Neurospora crassa OR74A: one gene and its partners. The protein of the gene in region 4 interacts with the protein of the main gene of each other region in a pairwise test. Links are inferred from orthologs where the notes say so. Each region holds a gene or a part of one and is shown on either strand. Other genes may lie near its edges.

Evidence for each region. The genes of interacting proteins can lie anywhere in the genome.
Region 1: the proteins of NCU07393 (region 4) and NCU00301 interact in binary tests that used the Saccharomyces cerevisiae proteins (3 or more experiments, as listed by UniProt). The link is inferred for Neurospora crassa OR74A from reciprocal best matches to the Saccharomyces cerevisiae genes NOP14 and SAS10.
Region 2: the proteins of NCU07393 (region 4) and NCU02428 interact in binary tests that used the Saccharomyces cerevisiae proteins (3 or more experiments, as listed by UniProt). The link is inferred for Neurospora crassa OR74A from reciprocal best matches to the Saccharomyces cerevisiae genes NOP14 and EMG1.
Region 3: the proteins of NCU07393 (region 4) and NCU03952 interact in binary tests that used the Saccharomyces cerevisiae proteins (3 or more experiments, as listed by UniProt). The link is inferred for Neurospora crassa OR74A from reciprocal best matches to the Saccharomyces cerevisiae genes NOP14 and MPP10.

What each region holds. Positions count from the first base shown.
Region 1 is NC_026503.1:3,362,026-3,367,248, reverse strand, and holds NCU00301 (Sas10/Utp3 family protein), read left to right. Parts: upstream 1-1,793; 5' UTR 1,794-1,942; coding exon 1,943-3,337; intron 3,338-3,395; coding exon 3,396-3,884; 3' UTR 3,885-4,088; downstream 4,089-5,223. Other genes in the region: NCU00302 (3-ketodihydrosphingosine reductase tsc-10), read right to left, coding at 106-1,038, 1,109-1,264. UniProt on the Saccharomyces cerevisiae protein: Primarily required at the G2/M phase. Essential for viability: involved in nucleolar processing of pre-18S ribosomal RNA as part of the ribosomal small subunit (SSU) processome.
Region 2 is NC_026507.1:2,520,491-2,525,628, forward strand, and holds NCU02428 (nucleolar essential protein 1), read right to left. Parts: upstream 3,380-5,138; 5' UTR 3,298-3,379; coding exon 3,246-3,297; exon of another isoform or gene 2,657-3,245; coding exon of another isoform or gene 2,629-2,656; coding exon 2,360-2,628; intron 2,289-2,359; coding exon 1,812-2,288; 3' UTR 1,136-1,811; downstream 1-1,135. UniProt on the Saccharomyces cerevisiae protein: S-adenosyl-L-methionine-dependent pseudouridine N(1)-methyltransferase that methylates pseudouridine at position 1189 (Psi1189) in 18S rRNA.
Region 3 is NC_026506.1:2,220,665-2,225,807, forward strand, and holds NCU03952 (U3 small nucleolar ribonucleoprotein Mpp10), read left to right. Parts: upstream 1-1,708; 5' UTR 1,709-2,117; coding exon 2,118-4,496; 3' UTR 4,497-4,949; downstream 4,950-5,143. UniProt on the Saccharomyces cerevisiae protein: Involved in nucleolar processing of pre-18S ribosomal RNA. Required for the early cleavages at sites A0, A1 and A2 during 18S ribosomal pre-RNA processing.
Region 4 is NC_026501.1:6,089,802-6,093,319, forward strand, and holds the end of NCU07393 (rRNA maturation protein), read left to right. Parts: coding exon 1-850; 3' UTR 851-2,597; downstream 2,598-3,518. UniProt on the Saccharomyces cerevisiae protein: Involved in nucleolar processing of pre-18S ribosomal RNA. Has a role in the nuclear export of 40S pre-ribosomal subunit to the cytoplasm.

The DNA of each region.
Region 1 (5,223 bases), on a different chromosome or scaffold from region 4:
TTGAGGCTGATATCGGTCTATTACAACAACAAAGTTATTACAGTATTTTTATGTTCATAGATATCATATACACATCCATACAAAAGAACAGATCCAACCATCGCATCACTTCTTCTTGGGATGCGTAAAAGGATGCCCCTTTTCCCTCGCCCACTTCACAATCGTTGAGTTCATCCCCCTCAACACGAAGAAGTAGATGATCGGTATGAGCCACCCCATCAACGTGTCCAGCACCCAGTTGTTCCTCGGCGACCCGCCCATGATCCCGCACTGCATCAGCCTTCCCAGGAATGACACATCGACAAAATACTTGCCAGCCTCCAGCCCGGCAATCGCCCTCCTTGCTACCGTATCCGGGCTTTCCGCTGGCTCGTCCTTTTCCAGCTCCACCGTGATGTCCGGCTTCGTCTGATTTTCCCTCTCGTAGCCCGGTGATACAATCGTGCCGGGATACACAATGTGCACCTTGACCGGGTTATCTGGGTAGTAATTGACCTCCATCGCCAGGGTATCCGCCAGTCCTCTCAGCGCCCATTTGGTTGGGGTGTACGGGCCATAGCCCAAAATCGCAAAAAGCGCCAACATTGACGCGGTAAATACCAAGTGCTTCGGCTCTCCGTTGGGTCCCGTGCTGTTTTCGGGTGCCAGCCACTCCCTCAAAATCGCCCGCGACATCTCCGCCGACCCAAAGTAGTTGACGTCCATGTTGCGGCGTGCGGCCGCCATGCTGCCATCGTCGGTCCACAGCAGAGGCGTCGACATGCCGGCCACGCACCAGACGATGTCCGGGGAGCGCCCGCCATTCCAGGCGATAGCTTCGGCGAGGACCGCGGCGGCGTAGTCGTGCTCGGAAACGTCGGCTGAGATGTAAGTGAAGCGTTGTGTGGACGGGTTCTTGGCGGCGGCGCGGACGTCGACGAGGGCTTCTTCAAGGCGCCCGACGTTGCGCGAGACGAGGATGACATTGGCGCCCTTTTGCGAAAGTTGGATGGCCGCTGAGCGGCCCATGCCTTCGGAGGCGCCGGTTAGGAGGACGGTCTGGTAACAGGGGTTGAGTTAGTGTTGTTTGGAGGTCGGGTCAGGTCGGGTGAGGCTTCGGGGCGCATACCCGGCCCTCGACTGGCATGTGGTTTTTGGAGCTGAAGAGACCCATTGTAGCAAATATGCCAATGGCCGCGACGACGGCTGCAACTGGGAGAGACCAGGAGGTGCTGAGGGTTTTCAATTGTTCCATCAGCGACTCTGAGAAGAGATAATGGTTCATCCTTCCTTGGATCGTGAAAGAAGATCGGGCTCGAGGAAAGTGGAATTGTTGACGCGGCGGCGCCTAAGCTATTCTGTATACGTCTAGAGTACGAACGAGTACCTCTACGGCGTAAATTTAGTGGATGCTGTCAGCAGTTCCCGTCGTACTGGAGCTTACACCCCTGTCTGTAAGTGACTTGTTGATGGGTGATGATTCGACCGATTTCTTCGCACTCCGTAGGAAAATGAGGTTTCTGGAACCATTTGCTGGAGTTTGCGTTTTCGAGTCTTCAGAAGCGGTTTTCTCTACTGTCATAACTGAACCCATTGAGGTCATGTCAACGTAAATCTGGCAGGCCTGGGGGGCATCTTGGAGCTTCCCGTCGACCCTGAGGACGGGATGGAAGCTTTGACCATTTCAGATGTAACTGTGGAGCATCTTCAATTGTGGGGTTAGGCAGCCTGCATGAGAGTGGAGCTGGGCGGTCGAGGTTCCGCTGAGAATGGATCGCAAATTGACAAGAGCAAAAAAATTCTGCCGCTTCAACATTTGTTGCCCGCCTAGCGAACGAACCCACCAGCCCATTCAACGAGCATCTCCAAGTGCCTTTTGGCAGCGTCTTCACGTCAACGTTTCTCAGTCGCGCCAAACTCCATCCAACACGCCTGAATAGATAACCGCGACACAAACGCAAAAATGGCGAAGAAGAGAAAAGCCCCGAGACCGACCGGTCCCGCCGAGCCTCGCGAGGTCGATGCCAAGGACGCCCGCCTTACCGTTAAGACTTACAAAGATGTCGCCAACTCCGAAGACGAATACTGGGAGAACCAGGATCGCATCGACTTTGACGACAGCGATGATGGCAGACAATCCAAGCGCAGGCGCCAAGACAAGGAGGAGGAGTTCCTAGAGGCTTCTGACGAGGAGGTTTTCGAGGAGGACGAATCCGATGAGGAGAGCGAACACGAAGACGCCGCGCCCGCGAAGGGCAAGAAGGTCAAGACAACAGTACTTTCCGACGAAGAGATGGGTGGTGAAGAGGAGGAAGAAGGTGACGAAGGATGGTGGGGTTCCTCCAGAAAGGACTACTACAATGCCGACCAGATCGAGACCGAGGCCGATGCCTTGGAGGAAGAGGCTGAGGCAAAGAGGCTCCAGGCCAAGAAGTTGGCCAAAATGTCCGAGGCCGATTTCGCGTTTGACGAGAGCGAATGGCTAGGAACCAAGGAGGAGGCCGAGGGAGAGGAGGATGTCATTACCGAGAAACTCAACGAGATCGAAGTCACAGAGGACATGGGGCCGGAAGAAAGATACAAGCTTCTACAGAGCCGATATCCCGAGTTTGACTACCTGGCGCAGGAGTTTAGGGAGCTGCAGCCGATTCTCACAACTCTTCAAAAAGAGGCCGAGGGCAAGCCTGCCAAGTCTCTGGAGATGGTCAAGTTCTGGACTCTTGGGTGTTACATCGCTTCACTCGCCAGTTATTTCGCTATCCTGACTTCGCCAGCAAGAGACAGCCAAGGTGTGTCCAAGACGATCAGCCCTACGGAACTCAGGGACCACGAGGTTATGGGCACGTTAATGAGCTGTCGCGAGGCCTGGCTTAAGGTCAAGGAACTCAAGCCGCTCAAGAGCGTCTCCTCGACCAGCGGCATGCTTTCGCCACCCGAAGATGAGGGCGAGTATGATGACCTGTCTGACGACGATATGGAGGACTTCAAGAAGATGCTCAAGAAGAGCAAGCGCGAATCCAAGGCTGAGCTCAAGGCCAAGGCGAAGAAGGAGGCCGAGAAGGCCAAGAAGGCCAGGGCTGTCGAGCAGTCTCTTGCCGATCTCTCCAGTTTGCTTGAAACCACCAAGACGGCAACCAAGGCCAGCAAGAAGTCTGTCAAGGTCGACAAGCGCGATGACGATGAGCGCTCCGACTTTGGTGACGAGGAGATCCTTGAAGCTCACGTGGCCAAGGAGAAGGCTGCTCGCAAGAAGAGTCTCAAATTCTACACCTCCCAGATTGTGTCCAAGTCCGCCAAGCGTGCGGATGCGGGTCGCAACGCCGGTGGTGATGACGATCTTCCCTACCGTGAGAGATTTGTAAGTCGGCCATTGCCTAAAAAACATGCCGTGTTGTCATATACTGACTTTTGCGCAGAGAGACAGGCAAGCACGGCTCAACGCCGAGGCCGAGAAGCGCGGCAAGAAAGACAGCAAGCACGGCGCCGTGCTGGGCGAGGGCGACAGCGACGACGAGGACAAGGCCGTTGCCAAGCAGGTGCGCGGAGAGGAGGACGAGTACTACGACATGGTGGCGCACAACGCGGCCAAGAAGAAGGAGGACAAGGCGGCCAAGTACGAGGCTTTGGCGGCTGCCAAGGGCGCCCGGGTCGTGGAGGAGACGACGATCGGCCCCGACGGCAAGCGCCAAATCAACTACCAGATCCAGAAGAACAAGGGCCTCACGCCGCATCGCAAGAAGGAGAACCGCAACCCGCGTGTCAAGAAGAGGATGAAGTACGCGGAGAAGCAGAAGAAGCTCAAGAGCGTCAAGGCCGTGTACAAGGGCGGCGAGGGCAAGGGCGGGTACCAGGGAGAACTGTCGGGTATCAAGACCGGCTTGGTCAAGAGTATCAAGCTTTCTTGATAGGGCTCTGGTTGTCGTGGTTGTTGGACTGGTTTGTAGTACTCTGGGTATATCATGCATGTATAGATTTTTGGGTTGTTGATAATCATGGCCTCAACGGAAATGGAAAAAAGCAGGCTTGCACACACAATGGCATTGTATTTCTTGAACACACTTGATACCTCTTCAAGATCTACAATATCTACAATGTCCAGTATTCTCAACACCGGAGGTCGCCGGTACTCGCACCCTGTTCAATCGTGTTAGTACAGGTTCATGGTAAACCCCGGGTCTGAGAATAGGGCTATATAAGAATCCCTCTCATTTTTTTTCTTTTTCTTTTCCATCCCAATTTTTAGTTCCTCTTCGTTTCTGTGCCCTTCCCTGGCATTTCTTGTGTGCCAGATTCCGAAAGAGCGAAGGCGATGTTGACTTGGAAAGGATACAAGGCCTGCGAGGGAGCCAATAGGAGCTCTGAGACGAATCAATGCAAATGCCCAAATCTCAACTTTGGATAAATGTAACACCACCACATGATAAATTATTAGATTGGGCAGTTTCTGAACAAACACAACATCCTAAACCGAACACTTCAATTTCGTTATCTTCAGTACAGGTATCTTCAACACGGATCGTTCAAGAAGTAGAGGTAATTTTTGGGATGAAACACTGGAATGTTAGAGCAATGATTAGGACATGCCACATTATTTTTTTCCAGTCCACCATGACTTCTTAAACCCACCAGGCAAAAGGAAGAGTTCCAAACCAACAGTCTGTTTTCGGTCTATCCAGAAACCCAGGTTTCCCTCGAAGGGTTCTCATGCTGTTGTTGGATGTTGTTGTACTAGGGTTTCACCTAGCGGTTGACGTACCCCACAAGATCCACCTACAGCCCGGGACGCTTGAGCCGCCTGAGACGTGCATGCTTTTAAGGGCTCTTTTGCCGCCGCCGAGGATGCATTACACGTATCTTGCAGCCAGGCGGGTCAACCTTGGGTCTTGGGGGAACCGGTTTGCGGATGAAGAGGCAAAGGATTTAAAACTAGTCATGCGACCATCAGACTTTTCACCATGTATGACTCGAATCGGATTGTAATCAGGTCGACTCTTTCCTTTGTTCAGCCTTTTTTGTTGACTTTGCATTTTGCATCGTTATCTTGAGCCTCACTTCAGTGTGTACTCTGTAACTCTTTGACCGACCGCTCATGAATCCTCAGGGCGGCTCTCAATTGAAGTGACGTATCTCCTGTCTACCAAACCCACAAAACAAGGACACAACAACAAAGAGCGAGGTGAACTGGGCATCCAAGTTCCAACGAATCTTGGGGGCAAACAACTCAATCGATAAGGCGGGAGAGTA
Region 2 (5,138 bases), on a different chromosome or scaffold from region 4:
TGCAGTCCTGTGGTTGGTGGTGATGGGAGGCAAGACAGCGAACCTAACGCGACCCGGCCAACCGGCCTGACTTGGCTGACTGGCGATCGAGGGCGGGAGAATCTCCATTGGCGAAAACCCATCTCCGCCCTTTTAGGCAAATGCAACCTTGCAAGAACATTCCTACTTTTTCCAGCTTCTCCCCTTTGATGATCTGATGGGAACTGATTTGCACTCGCACTGCAGGATTTTCCGTGGACAACTGCTGGCCATTGCCGCTCACTGACGGTCACGACTGTGCCGCCGCCTGACAAGCCATCCTTATGGTCTGGTATGCATCGCCACGGTTGCGGTAAACGCTTCGGTGCCTGGGTGCCGGGGTGCCCAAGTCGAAAGCTTGTATGTAGTGCAATGTAAGGCTTCTCGTAACCGAATCAGCCTGAGTGTAAAATTAGCATGTCAAACGGTGCCAAAAAAAAAAAAAAAAAAAAAAAAAAAAAAAAAAAAAAAAAAAAAAAAAAAAAAAAAAAAAAAAAAAAAAAAGGCCCAATAACCAAACCCAACTAGACCGGAAACTGAACGACGTGCTCGGTCTTAAGTCTTACAAAAAGTTTTTGGGCTTTCCATGTATGAAGAATATCAAACTATCATCATATTTTCATTTATAAAAAAAAAATTTCAAAGAAAATATTAGCAACACTACATTTTACACATCTTTCCTGTTACCACTGGGTTGTGTGTTCCTGGAGCACAAGCATTGTAGATCATTCAAACCCAAAAGATCCAATTCACAAATTTGCAAGGCACAGCAAAGGCGGGGAGTGCTCCAGTGCGCGTTCATACGAACAGTCTCGGGAGTAAATGCCAGGCTGACGGCAACTGGGATAACCATTTCATATCCACAGGTGATATGGTCCTGCAGCCCATGATCCAATCGGTCTGAAGACCCAGTGGCCAAACGCCAATGCCCAGGGTGTTACTTTCCGCGGTTTATTGGCCGAATGAAGAATGCCATGTGAGATACATCAAGGCCTGTACGCTTCTTGTACATTGCGAGTACACGGCACTATTCGTCAGGCTTTCAAATGGCCATGGAAAGAGATACAGGCACGTGAAAATGAAATCAAACGAGCTTACGCAGCAAGGGAGACACATTGTTTTGCAAATGCTTTATTTGGGAGAATAAAGGCATTGGGAAGGAGAGGAGGGTAGTGAGGCGTCGCAGTCCGAAAAACGAGCAACCCACGAAAACACTGACCTGTGGTAGATGGCTACTAGGTAGTAGTGCTGATATCGTGTAAGCAAAAAAGAAGGATGACAAAACATGGTTCCAGTGCGTCACTTCCCATTCTCTACCACTGATACTAACTGGGCAAGTCGCTACTTGCCCTTCTTTCCGTCATGGCAATGTCTGAGTTGGAATGGCGCATGGCAAGCGTTCGCTCGACAAAAAATTGCGTTTCACTTGACCCGAGAACTTTGTATCCGCAAGAAGATAGTATTGACTAGCTAAGGCTGGACGTATGAAAGAGCTAGGAAGAGGCGAAGAAGAGTATATGACGAAAGGAGAGGAGGGAAGGCAGGCCAGGTTGAATGGTCTTGCGTAGACGATGAAAGCGTCTTGAGTCCGTTGTTGAACGCCCCATGTTTTGGTTGCAAAAACAGCGACAGCGCAATCACAGGCGACCCAAGTTCCGGAGGCTCTAGCCCGCAAAATCGCGATGTTGTATCACGAAGCTGGCCAAAGCCCCCGCAGCCTCTCTCACGCGTGAGAAAGGCAAACAGACCTTTCACCCATCCCTCCATGTTCCTCACCACGGTTTGATTGTCGATTAAATGATGTCCCACGCATCCTCAGCGGCGTGACAGAACTTGCTGCACGCTACGCTGGCTGACAAGCTATAATTGCTGATGGAAATCTTCTCATCGACATACTCATCCGCAAAGTTATCGGCGCCCTTGGCCATGGCGCCTACAAAGACGCAAATGCTCTCATTCTCGCCCAAAGCGTCGATGTACTCGCGAACGCGCACAACGGGGGCGTCGAAGCTGAGCGTAATCTTGCGGCAGTTGGGAGGCAGGTGGTCCGTAATAGGGTTCTGAATCACCTTCAAGAGCTTTTCCTGTGAGTTGGTTCCCTTGATGGACAGACGATGGAGAAGCTGGACCATGAGACCAGCGAAGCGCTTGAAAGTGCGGGGTATACGGACAGCAGGCGAGACCTCGATCAGGACCCCTTTGGCGGTCTGGATATAGATCTGCAGCCTGCCGGCCTTGTTGACGGGCGAGTCAAGGAGCGTGAGGAGGCACTAGAGTACACAAATGGCGAGTGTCAGTAGCAGTATCCGCATGTTGAATGCAGACTGGGAGTGTTTCCAACCTGGTGAGTAATGTCGGGGCGAGCGTCACTGATATCTCTGTTCATCTTGCGCATGACACCAATGTGCTCATCGCTATTGAGGAGCGAGTATTTTTCCTCTCGCTGCATGCCCATGCGGCCAGAGCCGCCGTGGGACGCCTTGTAGGTCTCGAGACTGGCGTTGGAGAGTACCACGATGAGCCTCTTAGTATCCTTGTCGGTAGGTGGGATGGGCATGTGCTGCTCAGCAACGAGTTGGGGCAGTGCCGGAGGAGGGAGCGACTGGGTGCCTGCCATGGTCACGTCGTGGTTAGACATGTTGAAAACCTGAAGCTCACTCAATAATCGAATAACCAAATGTCCGGGGGCAACGACAGGTAGGAGAAATGGCAGGCGGCGGCGCTGGTAGAAACGGTAGGTTTGATGATAGTTGCTGATATGGTCGTCGTGATGGTGCTAGGGACGGGACGATGGATGATGTGTAGCCAAGAGAACGCAAGAATGGAGACAAGACGGCCTTTCGAGTTTTCGAGCGAAAAAAACGAAATGGCATTGGCCACCATTGGCGATCAGTCAAAAGAGAGTGGGGTACCGAAGTTCCAGGCTTCCCGGGCCCCTCTTTCCGTGTACAGTAGTAGTACGTCTTTGCGGCGTCTTTCCCGTCAGGGTGTTCCCGTCGATTTTTTTGTTTGATTTTTTTTGGTCCTCTGCGCTGCGCATGCGCTATGATGCTTGGCAACAACGGAACCGGGACACACGCAGCAATACAGCTTGGGAACGCTCAAGCCCGCCCCTCAAACCTCCGAAAAACTTCATACCTCGAGCGCCGCAACACCTCGCATTCAGGGCCCAAACCAAAATGATTATCTGACATAGAAGAGATTAAAAGGTCGAGGAGGGTACTTACGAGGCCGCTTGCCAGCACGGGGGTGTTCTGGGGAAGATGATCCGGACGACATGGTGGCAGGGGAGCACGGAGCAAAGACAACGATGGAAAACCAAATGGACCCTTGATGGCAGCAAGATTGAAGCGGAAAAGTTGGAGGAAGAACGAGACGAGAGCCCAGAGCGCGGGTGCGCGGGCGCACGTGCCCTTTTATATGTTCACGAAGCTCGATAACACGACCTGGATAAACCGACTGTGTGGGGCCATACGAACTGAGAGCAGTCAGCCCCTACCCCAAGCTTGGCATTGATATCGCGCGCCGGCAACCATCAGTCCTCACAAGAAAGCATCGTTTGAAATAGTCTCAGTCAGACCCACAACCTCCAAAACCACCCCACCCCACCCGTTTCTGCGGTAGCAGGTCTGAGCCAATTTTGAGCATTTCGGCCGTCAGCCGCTGTAGGACCCAACTATATATTATTATATATTATAAATTCAAGGAAGCTAGTAAAGATAAATAAAAATTACTCTTATATAGAACATTTTATTCTGATTCCAATGGTAGCCTTAGTTCCCTCATACGACTAAAAATCGTCGAAATACAAGGCTTTGAACTTTTGGACTTTTACCCCCTCAAGGCTACATTACTTTAATGGGTGGTCCGAGCTTTATAAAAATGGTACCGTCAGAACCGCCTTCCCAAGGCTTACCCTCTAGGCTAGCCGTTAGCTTCTAGTTCTTCCTTCTACATCATTTTTCATAACGCTTTCAAATATCATCATACTATTATTTACAGAGCGCTCCAATTACCCGTATCAAATAGTAGCTACAATTAAAAATTAATTAACCAAACTAAACCCCTTTCAATTAGAACCTTTAACTAAGTAAACTAATTAATCTTCAAACGGTTCATTAAACCTCTAATCGCAAAGACCCTATATCGCTCAACACCAACCCTGCAATCGCAAACAATAATAACAATCCTTTACTATTATATCTCTAAATCCTTCCCAATCCTTCCCTTATACCTTCTCCCCGCGCTTCCTAATTATACTATACCAATTTACTTGTATTGGTTCGTATTAATTAAAATATTATATTATACTACCCTAATCCGAATACCTACAGACCTCAATATAAAGGGTAACCCCGTCTACCAATTACTCAATTCTTAAACGTATTTCTACTCCTACTTCTTATCTATACTCCTACTAAGTACTTTCTTTATTCTCAATACTATTATTCATTAATAATTGTAATTAAATATACTATAATCTAAAAGCTAATTTCAATACTATAGCTAACTATAATTTAACTAACCCCGGCCTAGCTAATAATCCGCCTAATAATTTATTAATATATAATAATTTATTTTAATAAGAAAATTACTTTACTAATAACTTTAATAACCTAATTAATTATAATAGTACTATCGTCGGATAAACGAACTATCCTTCAACCTATAGTAAATTACCCTTTACTAAATTAATCCAACTACCTCCTAGATTAATAGCTTAGTCTAATAAAATTAAATAATTAAATACAATTAATTCTAAGTAACTAAATTCAATTAAATAAGATTCTCTTGAATTATTCTAATAACTATTAAATTTATTACTACCTCCGTCGCTCTTTCTACTGCCTAAACCTCCATTTCTACCTCCGAAGCTATAACTACTCCCCGCAACCTCTCTAACCAAAATAATTTTCACTATACTAAATAATTTACTAATTATAATTAATAAATCCCCTATAAAACCGGCTTTTATTCTAATAACCCCCAATAACCCTACTAAACTAGCGACCGAAGAAGCTCCTAAGAAAAAACCCGTTTCTCCCTCCAAAATTAAAAATATTATAAATTTCATAAAAAGTATATTTACGGGAGCTAAGCCAACTACGCCTCCTAAAGCA
Region 3 (5,143 bases), on a different chromosome or scaffold from region 4:
ATGTCATGATTCTGGTCTGGGCCGGCTGCAGTCTCTTTCATTTTGTCTCGACCGAGGTTAGGTAGGTACGGTACTCAAGCATTTGCACCGTGGTCCTACCAAGAGAAAACGATCGAGTTGCCACTGGTACAGCTGCAAGACGGCTCCCAACAGCATAGATGGGGTGGGGCGACGGACAGGTGCTCTTGACAAGTCGTGTTGTGAAGACCTGTTGTGGGATGCAGTTTCTCCTCTCACCCTCACATAGAGCCTGCCAGAAGGGAGGCGGATATGGAAAATAGAAAAGAATGAATCGGCCCGTCCGGATTTTCACAAGGAGATCTCCTTCGCTTGACAAATTAGGTAACATCCGGCAACTCAAAAGTATTTCCCGTCCCTCCATCTCGACGTATCTTCCAGCTCTGTAACCAAACAGTGTGCGATTGGCAGTTACATAGTGTGAGCCAACCGAAACTTCTCTCGCGACCTCCTGTACGACTTTGGAAATGTTGCCGTTAACTTGGCCATTCTACTCTAGGTAGGTAGCAGAGATAGATGGTGTGATGCGATTGGACCGAGCAACGCCACTTAGCGATCAAGTTCATGTGTCGTACTATACAGGAGGCCACTGACACTTGATGGGATCCTCGCCGTTCACGACAGCAAGTTAGTGGTTACATAGCAAACATCTTCACCGTGAGGTTCACAGTTATTTCCCGGCGAACATGAAAAAGAGGTCATATTGAGAGCACGCAACGCACGACCATAGAGGCTGGGATCACCAAAGCCACCATCGCCCTCACATTGACCTCGGCAACCGCTAAAGAACATGATACAATTCCCTGGCCTGGGATACGAAGGTCTTGAGTATCACTCGCAGCTCGGCTCGGCGGGACACTCTCCCGCGAGTTGCATTCAATGAAGGCTTAGACGGTCCAGACCCTAATGCAGCACGTCAACGCTGCTGTCGTATTTTGAAAGAATACCTCATGGTCCGTCAAAATTCTCACGGGCGATACCATATGCATAGGGATGTGGCTTGTGAAGGAACTTCAACAAGTGTTATGACTTGCAGCATCTTTCCCCGAAGGTGCGCAAATAACACCCTTACATTTCTACTATGTAATAAGAGCTTTCTCTGCACGTTATCCAGACCATGAAGAAGAGCCGGCTGGGTAAGTAGCCTACCTCTACAGAAAATAGTCCATCAACGTCTGTCGCAGAGATCTCATTACGATGTTGAAAAGAACACGAGAAGCATACTGTAATGTAGCTAGTATGAGGCAAACCTAGCGCTCTTCCTCAATGGGGTTAATCGTTGGTTTAACATTTTACAGTTCTTGCACAATTTAATTACCTTTTACCGTTTGACAAGAAACTTCCAGTTACGACGAAAGTGAAGCGGCGAAAGATACAATAGACTATGTACGAGCTGATGGGATTGATAGGGTAGTCTGGAATTTTAGATAAGGAAGTGCTGATAACAAGCTAGGTGCCTGTGTCGAAACGGCGACTTCACCTATCCAACAGCACTGGAGATCGTTGCGTGATTGCTTACTGAGTTTCCAGTAACTTCAGAGTAACTCGCTAGCGTATGCTATATTTAAAAAAAGGTCATTGTGAATTCATCCCCTCTCTCAAGCTTGATGTCGAGCATCTCCTTTGAGACTGCATGCACTTTGTGGTTTGTTTACTTGACATTGTCATCCGATTATAAGTGTTAAGGCAACCTCGTCTTATAGCGGTGCACCGCCCTGAAGCTTAACAACAAGAGAAGTGGGACCTACTTCCATTTCCAGAGAGCAGAATCACCCATCATTGGTCAATTCACAGCCAGCCCCATAAGCTGGTGCGGGGACGCCTGCCTCCACGCTTCGCCGTTTCCTGGACCTTGGAGAGCGCTATGGCAGAAAAAATTTTGGTCCATCAATATCGCCGGCTGGCAACCAAACATCGTCAGGTCGAACTTTTTTTTGTTTTGGTACGGGCAACGGCAAACACCGACGCCCTGCCATTTCTTAGTCAAGCGTCCATATTGAACCCTCAAGTCAGACACTTGTATGACAAGGCCAGCCTCGATACCCTAGCCTTGATTGATCTTCTTACAGCATTAGTCCAACCCTACCTAAAAAACAGACATGGCAGCTGGCAGCATAACCTCTTCCGTAACCTCGACATCCCAAACAATCACCCACGACCCCTCCACACACAACAGCGTCATGGCCGCTACCCTCGCCGCATCGTCGAGCGGCAGCACCTCTCCTTCGACAATTGCCAACAACCCCGTCGTCGCCTCCTTCCTCTCGGCCCTGGCCGACGAGTCCAACCGCCACGTCTTCCTGCAGCCGCCCTCGACCCTTCCCGCCGGATCCCTCCTGCTCGCCAAGGAGACCCTCGACGCGCTCGCCTCGCAGGTCAGTGACCACCAGCAGGCAAAGCTGAAAGAGATCGCGGCCACCATCGGTGGAAAGAAGCGCAAGCGTGAGGCTGGCTATGACAAGAATGCCGTGCTCAAGATTCGCAAGCTGCACGTCGACGACGGCTTCGAGACGGAGCAGATTTGGCAGCAGGCCAAGAAGATCATTGCCAGCGCCACAAAGGAGGCTGGCGATGTGCTGAAGGAGCTGGAGGAGAACGGGATTGTGGGCACCGGCGAGGAACAAGAGAAGACCATTGAGTTTGGAGAGGATGGGTTTGAGCTTGGTTCTGATGAGGAGGAGGAGGACGATGAGGAGGATGCTGATAGCGAATCTGGTTCTGGCTCTGAAGGAGAAGAGGATGAGGAGGATGACGAAGAAGAATTAGAAGGAGAAGAGGGCAGCCAGATCGACGACGATGAAGAAATCGAGATCGATGGCGAAGAGGTTGAATTCTCGGACGAAGATGGAGAAGGAGAGTTTGATGAGGAGGAGGAGGAAGAAGAAGAAGAAGAAGAAGAAGAAGAAGAGGAAGAGGATGCGCCAGAACTTGTCGAGGATCCCAACGGCCTCAACGACGGCTTCTTCTCAATAGACGACTTCAACCGGCAGACACAGTTGTGGGAGGACGCGGATGCCCGTGCGGACCCCAACGTCGATGCCGACAGCGACGACGAACAGCTAGACTGGCACGCCGATCCTTTCGCGACAAAGCCAAAATCAAAGAAGGGCAAGAGCGACAAGAAGAAGGACGAAGACCAGGATGAGGACGACGTCGACATGGGCGATGAATCCGAAGACGACGAGGCCCTCGAGGCTGCTGCCGCCGCCCACGCCAAGAAACTCAAGGGCAAGAAGAACGTGGAGCAGCTCGAGGACGATGGCGACGATCTCGGCCTTACAGATGGTGTTCTCGGTATGGACATGGACCTTACCGCCAACGACATTTACTACAAGGACTTCTTCGCGCCACCTCAAAAGAAGAAGACCGGCAACCAAAGGAAAGGAGGCTATTTCCCCAAGAAACTTGAGCAGCCAGATGAGGCCGATATGGAGAGAGCCGAGAATGATGTGCGCCGCGATCTCTTCGACGACATCTCGGAGAATGAAGATGAAGATAAGCTCTCGGATCTTGATGCTGGTGATCCGAGATCTCGCCGGTCCGCCCACGAGCGCAGACAAGCCAAGATTGCCGAGGAGATCCGCAGGCTCGAGTCTGAGCTAGTTGCCAAGCGCGCCTGGACTCTGTCCGGTGAGGCTTCCGCGCAAGCTCGTCCCATGAACTCGCTCCTGGAGGAAGACCTCGAGTTTGAGCATGTCGGAAAGCCTGTCCCCGTCATTACCGAGGAGGTTTCCGAGACGATTGAGGCGCTCATCAAACGCCGCATTCTTGCCAACGAGTTCGACGAGGTTCTCAGGAGACGTCCTGACACCCTCAATAACCCCAACAACGCGCGCCGCGGTCTCGTTGAGATCGACGACACCAAGGGCAAGCAGTCTCTCGCCGAGATCTACGAGGAGGAGCACATCAAGAAGGCCAACCCGGACGAGTACGTCAGCGCTTCGGACGAGAAGCTCACGCGCGACGAGGCCGAGATCAAGAACATGTGGAAGGACATCTGCGCCAAGCTCGACGCCCTCAGCAGCTGGCACTACAAGCCTAAACCCGCCGCACCCACCATCAGCGTTGTCACCGACGTCGCCACCGTCGCCATGGAGGACGCCATGCCCACCACGGCCCAGGGTGTGTCGGGTGGCGAGAGCACGCTCGCGCCCCAGGAGGTGTACGCCCCCGGCAAGGACTCAGTCGAGAAGGGCGAGGTCGTGGCCAAGAGCGGCCTGCCGATTGCCAAGGAGGAGATGAGCCGCGAGGAGAAGGCTAGGAGACGCAGACGCGAGAAGGAGCGCATCCGCAAGGCCGGCGGCCTGGATGCGAACAAGAACATCAGCAAGGGTGCCCAGGAACGCAAGGAGACGATGAGCCAGCTCAAGAAGGGCGGTGTCAAGGTTATTAACCGGAAGGGTGAGACGGTTGGGTTGGATGGCAAGAAGATCGCGGAGCAGAAGGGTCCTACGTCGAGTGGTGCCTTCAAGCTTTAAAGGTCGGGTTGTTAGACGAGGGATAGACGTAGGAAGAAGATGGATGATACCCTGATGGGTTGGACGGGTGGGCAGTCTTGGCTAAGGGCGATCTGTAAAGGTCTTTTTCTTTTGTATGGAATAGGTACATAATTGGGAGTTCAAAAACTATGCATGAGTTTGTTTTTCATCGGCCGTCAGCCGGTATACAATGCTCAACTGTTCACGTTCAACATTGTCGAAGATGATTCTTGTGTGCCTAATATTATGGAGTCAGTACAACAACTAATCCTGGCCCTCTCCAACCTCATTGCTCTGTTTCCCCTCATGCTTTCCTTCTGTTACCCGTCACTATTCTCCGTGTGATCTTTCCTCCAATTCAGCCCAGATCATAGCGACTCATAACTTGGTACCTACCTCTACCTCCACAGGTCTACAAAGTGAAAAAATGCAAAATCAGTCTAGCTATCCACCCTCAGCCAAATTGGTAACTCTCCATTTTCATTACATCTTATTAGTATTTGGGATTGCCTACCCCTACTACTAGCTTGCCCTTTATCAAAAAAAAAAAAAAAAAAAAAAAAAAAAAAAAAAAAAAAAAAAAAAAAAAAAAAAAAAGAAAAGAAAAGAAAGAAAAAAAATAAAAGGAAAAAAAAAGAAACAAAAAA
Region 4 (3,518 bases):
GACACTCGCCGACTACTCCATTGGTGCTTACCTTTCGATCCTCGCCCTTCAGTACCAATCCTTCTCCAAGCGTTACGTACCAGAATTTGTCAACTTCTGCCTCAACACTCTCTGCTCGCTCGCTGCTGAGAAGCCCAAGGAAAAGCTTGGTCTGTTCCCCGTTCACGAGCCCGCTGCTGGCATCCGTGTCAAGGGTGCAAGCAAGGTGACCGTCAGGAAGCTCAACTGCGGTGACTGCCAGCAGCCCAAGAGCGCTCGCTCCACCAGCGACGACTCCGCTCTGAAGGTTGCCATTATCAGCACCATCACCTCCGTTCTCAGGACTGCTTCCGAAACATGGTGCAAACTCCCCGCATTCTACGAGACCTTCCAGCCCGCCCAGCGCGTGCTCCAACACCTGACAACCAAGTCCAACGCCGCCCAGCTCCCTGCAGCCCTCGTCAAGCAGCTTAAGGACGCAACGACAAGCATCTCCCGCCTCCTCCAGCTCGCCCAGGTTTCCCGCAGGCCACTCGAGCTGCACCACCACAAGCCGCTCGCCATTAAGACGTACGTGCCCAAGTTTGAGGATTCGTTTGACCCCAACAAGCACTACGACCCAGACCGCGAGCGCGCCGAGCTGGCCAAGCTGCGGGCCGAACACAAGAAGGAGCGCAAGGGCGCACTCAGGGAGCTCCGCAAGGACGCGGCCTTCATGCAGCGCGAGAACCTCAAGGTCAAGAAGGCCAAGGACGAGGCGTACGAGAAGAAGTACAAGCGCTTGGTGGCGGAGATCCAGGGATCGGAAGGCCAGGCGGCGAACGAGTACGCAAGGGAGAAGGCGGCGAGGCTCAAGAAGAACAAGAGGTAAATGGCTACTTCTTAGAAGGTTCGGGGGTAGCAGTCGGAGTAAGTTTGTGGTTGGCCGTGTTGTTGTTAGTGCCGTTGTTGTTGCTGTCATGTATACATCATCATCAGCGTTCAGTGCAAGTGCAATATTTGGATCATGGGTTGGAGATACCATGTCTATCATATCATCTACTAGTAGGAGTTTTAAGATCATTTCATCATTTGCCAACCCTCAGTACGTACATTATCTACTCCTGATGTTGTTTACATGTGATGTTTACCCAACCCACCAATTTCATCATGGTACTCATCCCTACCTGGAACTTTCAACACTTCAACGAAACTATGTAATTCCGGTTATCGCTATTGATGGCGGAGCCTCATCTGAAGAAAAAGAAAAGAAAAAGCAAACAACAAATAACAAGAAAATGACTGAAGACAAGGAAACACAGCAGTATGGAGTTGCCCTTCGGTCGGCGTGTCCGTCCCGCGGCTATAATTCAAACAATGCCGTTCTTCAATCACTTCCCCCCCTCGTGCCACCCATACTGTACCTCCAGCGCTGGCCCAACGACTAACTACATAGTTAGTTACGACTTACGAACAATATATAAGCGACCTAAACAACTAACAACCGCCGCACGTTATCGTATAACAATATCACTGGACCCCGAAAACCCCTAACCAGCGAAATCGGCGAGAAAGTATTTCCCAGGTACTCAGGTCCCGGGCGGATGCTTGATCAGTATGTATTTTGCCCAGTCTGAACTTTGTAAACTTTCAAAGACAATCCACATCTCTTTGTGGTGGTTTCTAGACGCTATAGGCGCCGTAGACGATGGTGTTGTGTTCATCGGGGAAGTCGGGCACTCTACGACTCTTTTCATTCTTCTCTCTTTCCTTTGCTACATTCTCAATAGCACGCGCCTTTTCTTCTGAGGGGAAGAGGCAAAGAGAATCATAAGCTGATGACCTAGATTCCGCTCCAGTTGGTAGTTGGGTCGATCGGTTGGTTCCGAGTAAGATCAAGATTCCCGTCCCGTCGTCTATGAGGGTCCCCGTGTCTCCCCAGCTCCAGGTTTCCGGCGGCCGCAAAATGAGCCTCACGCACCTCTCAGTTGATCGAAGGCTGGAAGAATGGATGTCAAGGCGACATGTGTCATTGCGATCTTGACATCGATCGCATCTTTGAAGCCATGGATGACTATCGGTGATCCCGCTGTTCAGGACCGATGATTTCGGCTTGCTGTTTCAGTTGGCTGCCTCTAACTATCACCACGATCATGTGTCAAAGCTCGAAGAAGGAGGTGAAGTAATGAAAACAAAAGAAAAACAAGAAAAAAAATCCCATAACACATCAAAAAGCCAATTCGACTCCGTTCCAGCCTAGGCGCCCTCACAGATACGGCCCCCAAAAAGACAGATATGTCTGGTCCACTCCAACTGTATTCTCATACACAGCCTCTTCAAGCGCGCGCTTAGAGGCGCATGTGGATATGATCACCCCAGAGGCCTCCTGATGAGGCTCTTCCTCGGCAGTCACTCACATGATACTTTGTCAAAACGATGTATTCTTTCCTACTAGAAATCCCATCAGGGTTCACTTTTCGGCTCCCTTTTCCGAGAGCATAGTAGGTCTCAAAAGCGGGTCGCCGGGCTGTGGAAGATTGAGGCTGTGTGCAGTGTTGTTTTGACGTGGTGAGTTTACTAGTTACCTAGTGGGTTTCGAAACATCTAAACGTGCCCATTTCCGCGTATCAACAAAAATCGCCCCCACATCATTGACCGAAATGTTTGGGCAAAGGGGAGGGGACTGGGTGGAAACGGAAGTGGCCAAAGAAAGACAATGTGGCCATGAGATCCTAACGAGTTGGAAGCCATTCACGATCCGAAAACGACGAGTGGTCAAGGCTGAGCCAGAAACACAAAAAACTCCACGATATTTTTCCACAATGAGGTAGATGGACAGATATGGGTGGAAATCATGCCTTCTGCGACCTGTTGAGCTGAACAGTTAATGACATGTCGTTCCAGCCTCACCTCACGTTCATGCTATCAGACATTGTCAACTCTCTTGTTGACCGAATAGACAGACGGCTGCTGCTACTGCTGCTGCGCCTCTACATATATCCAACCAAGCTGGGATCGACCAGCTTAACCAATCCCTGGCTTGCAGTCAACGGCGAAGCCATTAGCGGCAGAGTGAGGCGCGGATACTCAACGGGAGTCGGGAACCGTACCACTAGTAGGGCGATTGCCGGGCGAATTATGACCGCCACCATGCTTCTCCTACCGTGCGGCGGCGTGCAACCTCTTATAATCCAGTTCAACAAAACCTCACTGTCCTTGTCTCGCCGCTTCGAGTCTGTGACCTTGAGGCTGTGAAGTGTCAATTTTCGAGCGGTTGGAAGTAGACAGCATCTGCAAAACTAGTATGGATGCGGCTGGGATCGACCATACCATATAGAATCCGGTAGCGAGATGCTCAGCCGTCCAGCTCCTGTGTTTCCTGGCTCAGTGAATGGTCGTCAGTTATTTAGCTGACTGGTGAACGTTTCGCTTGAAGGGTAAAAGCGGGGTGAGGATTGACTGCGCTACAGTATTCTAAACTTTAGCTGTGTGGTGCCGTGCCGTCCGTATGGACGGGAGGGCAAAGCGGGAGGCGCAAATCCAGGGGGTCTTGGTCTTTT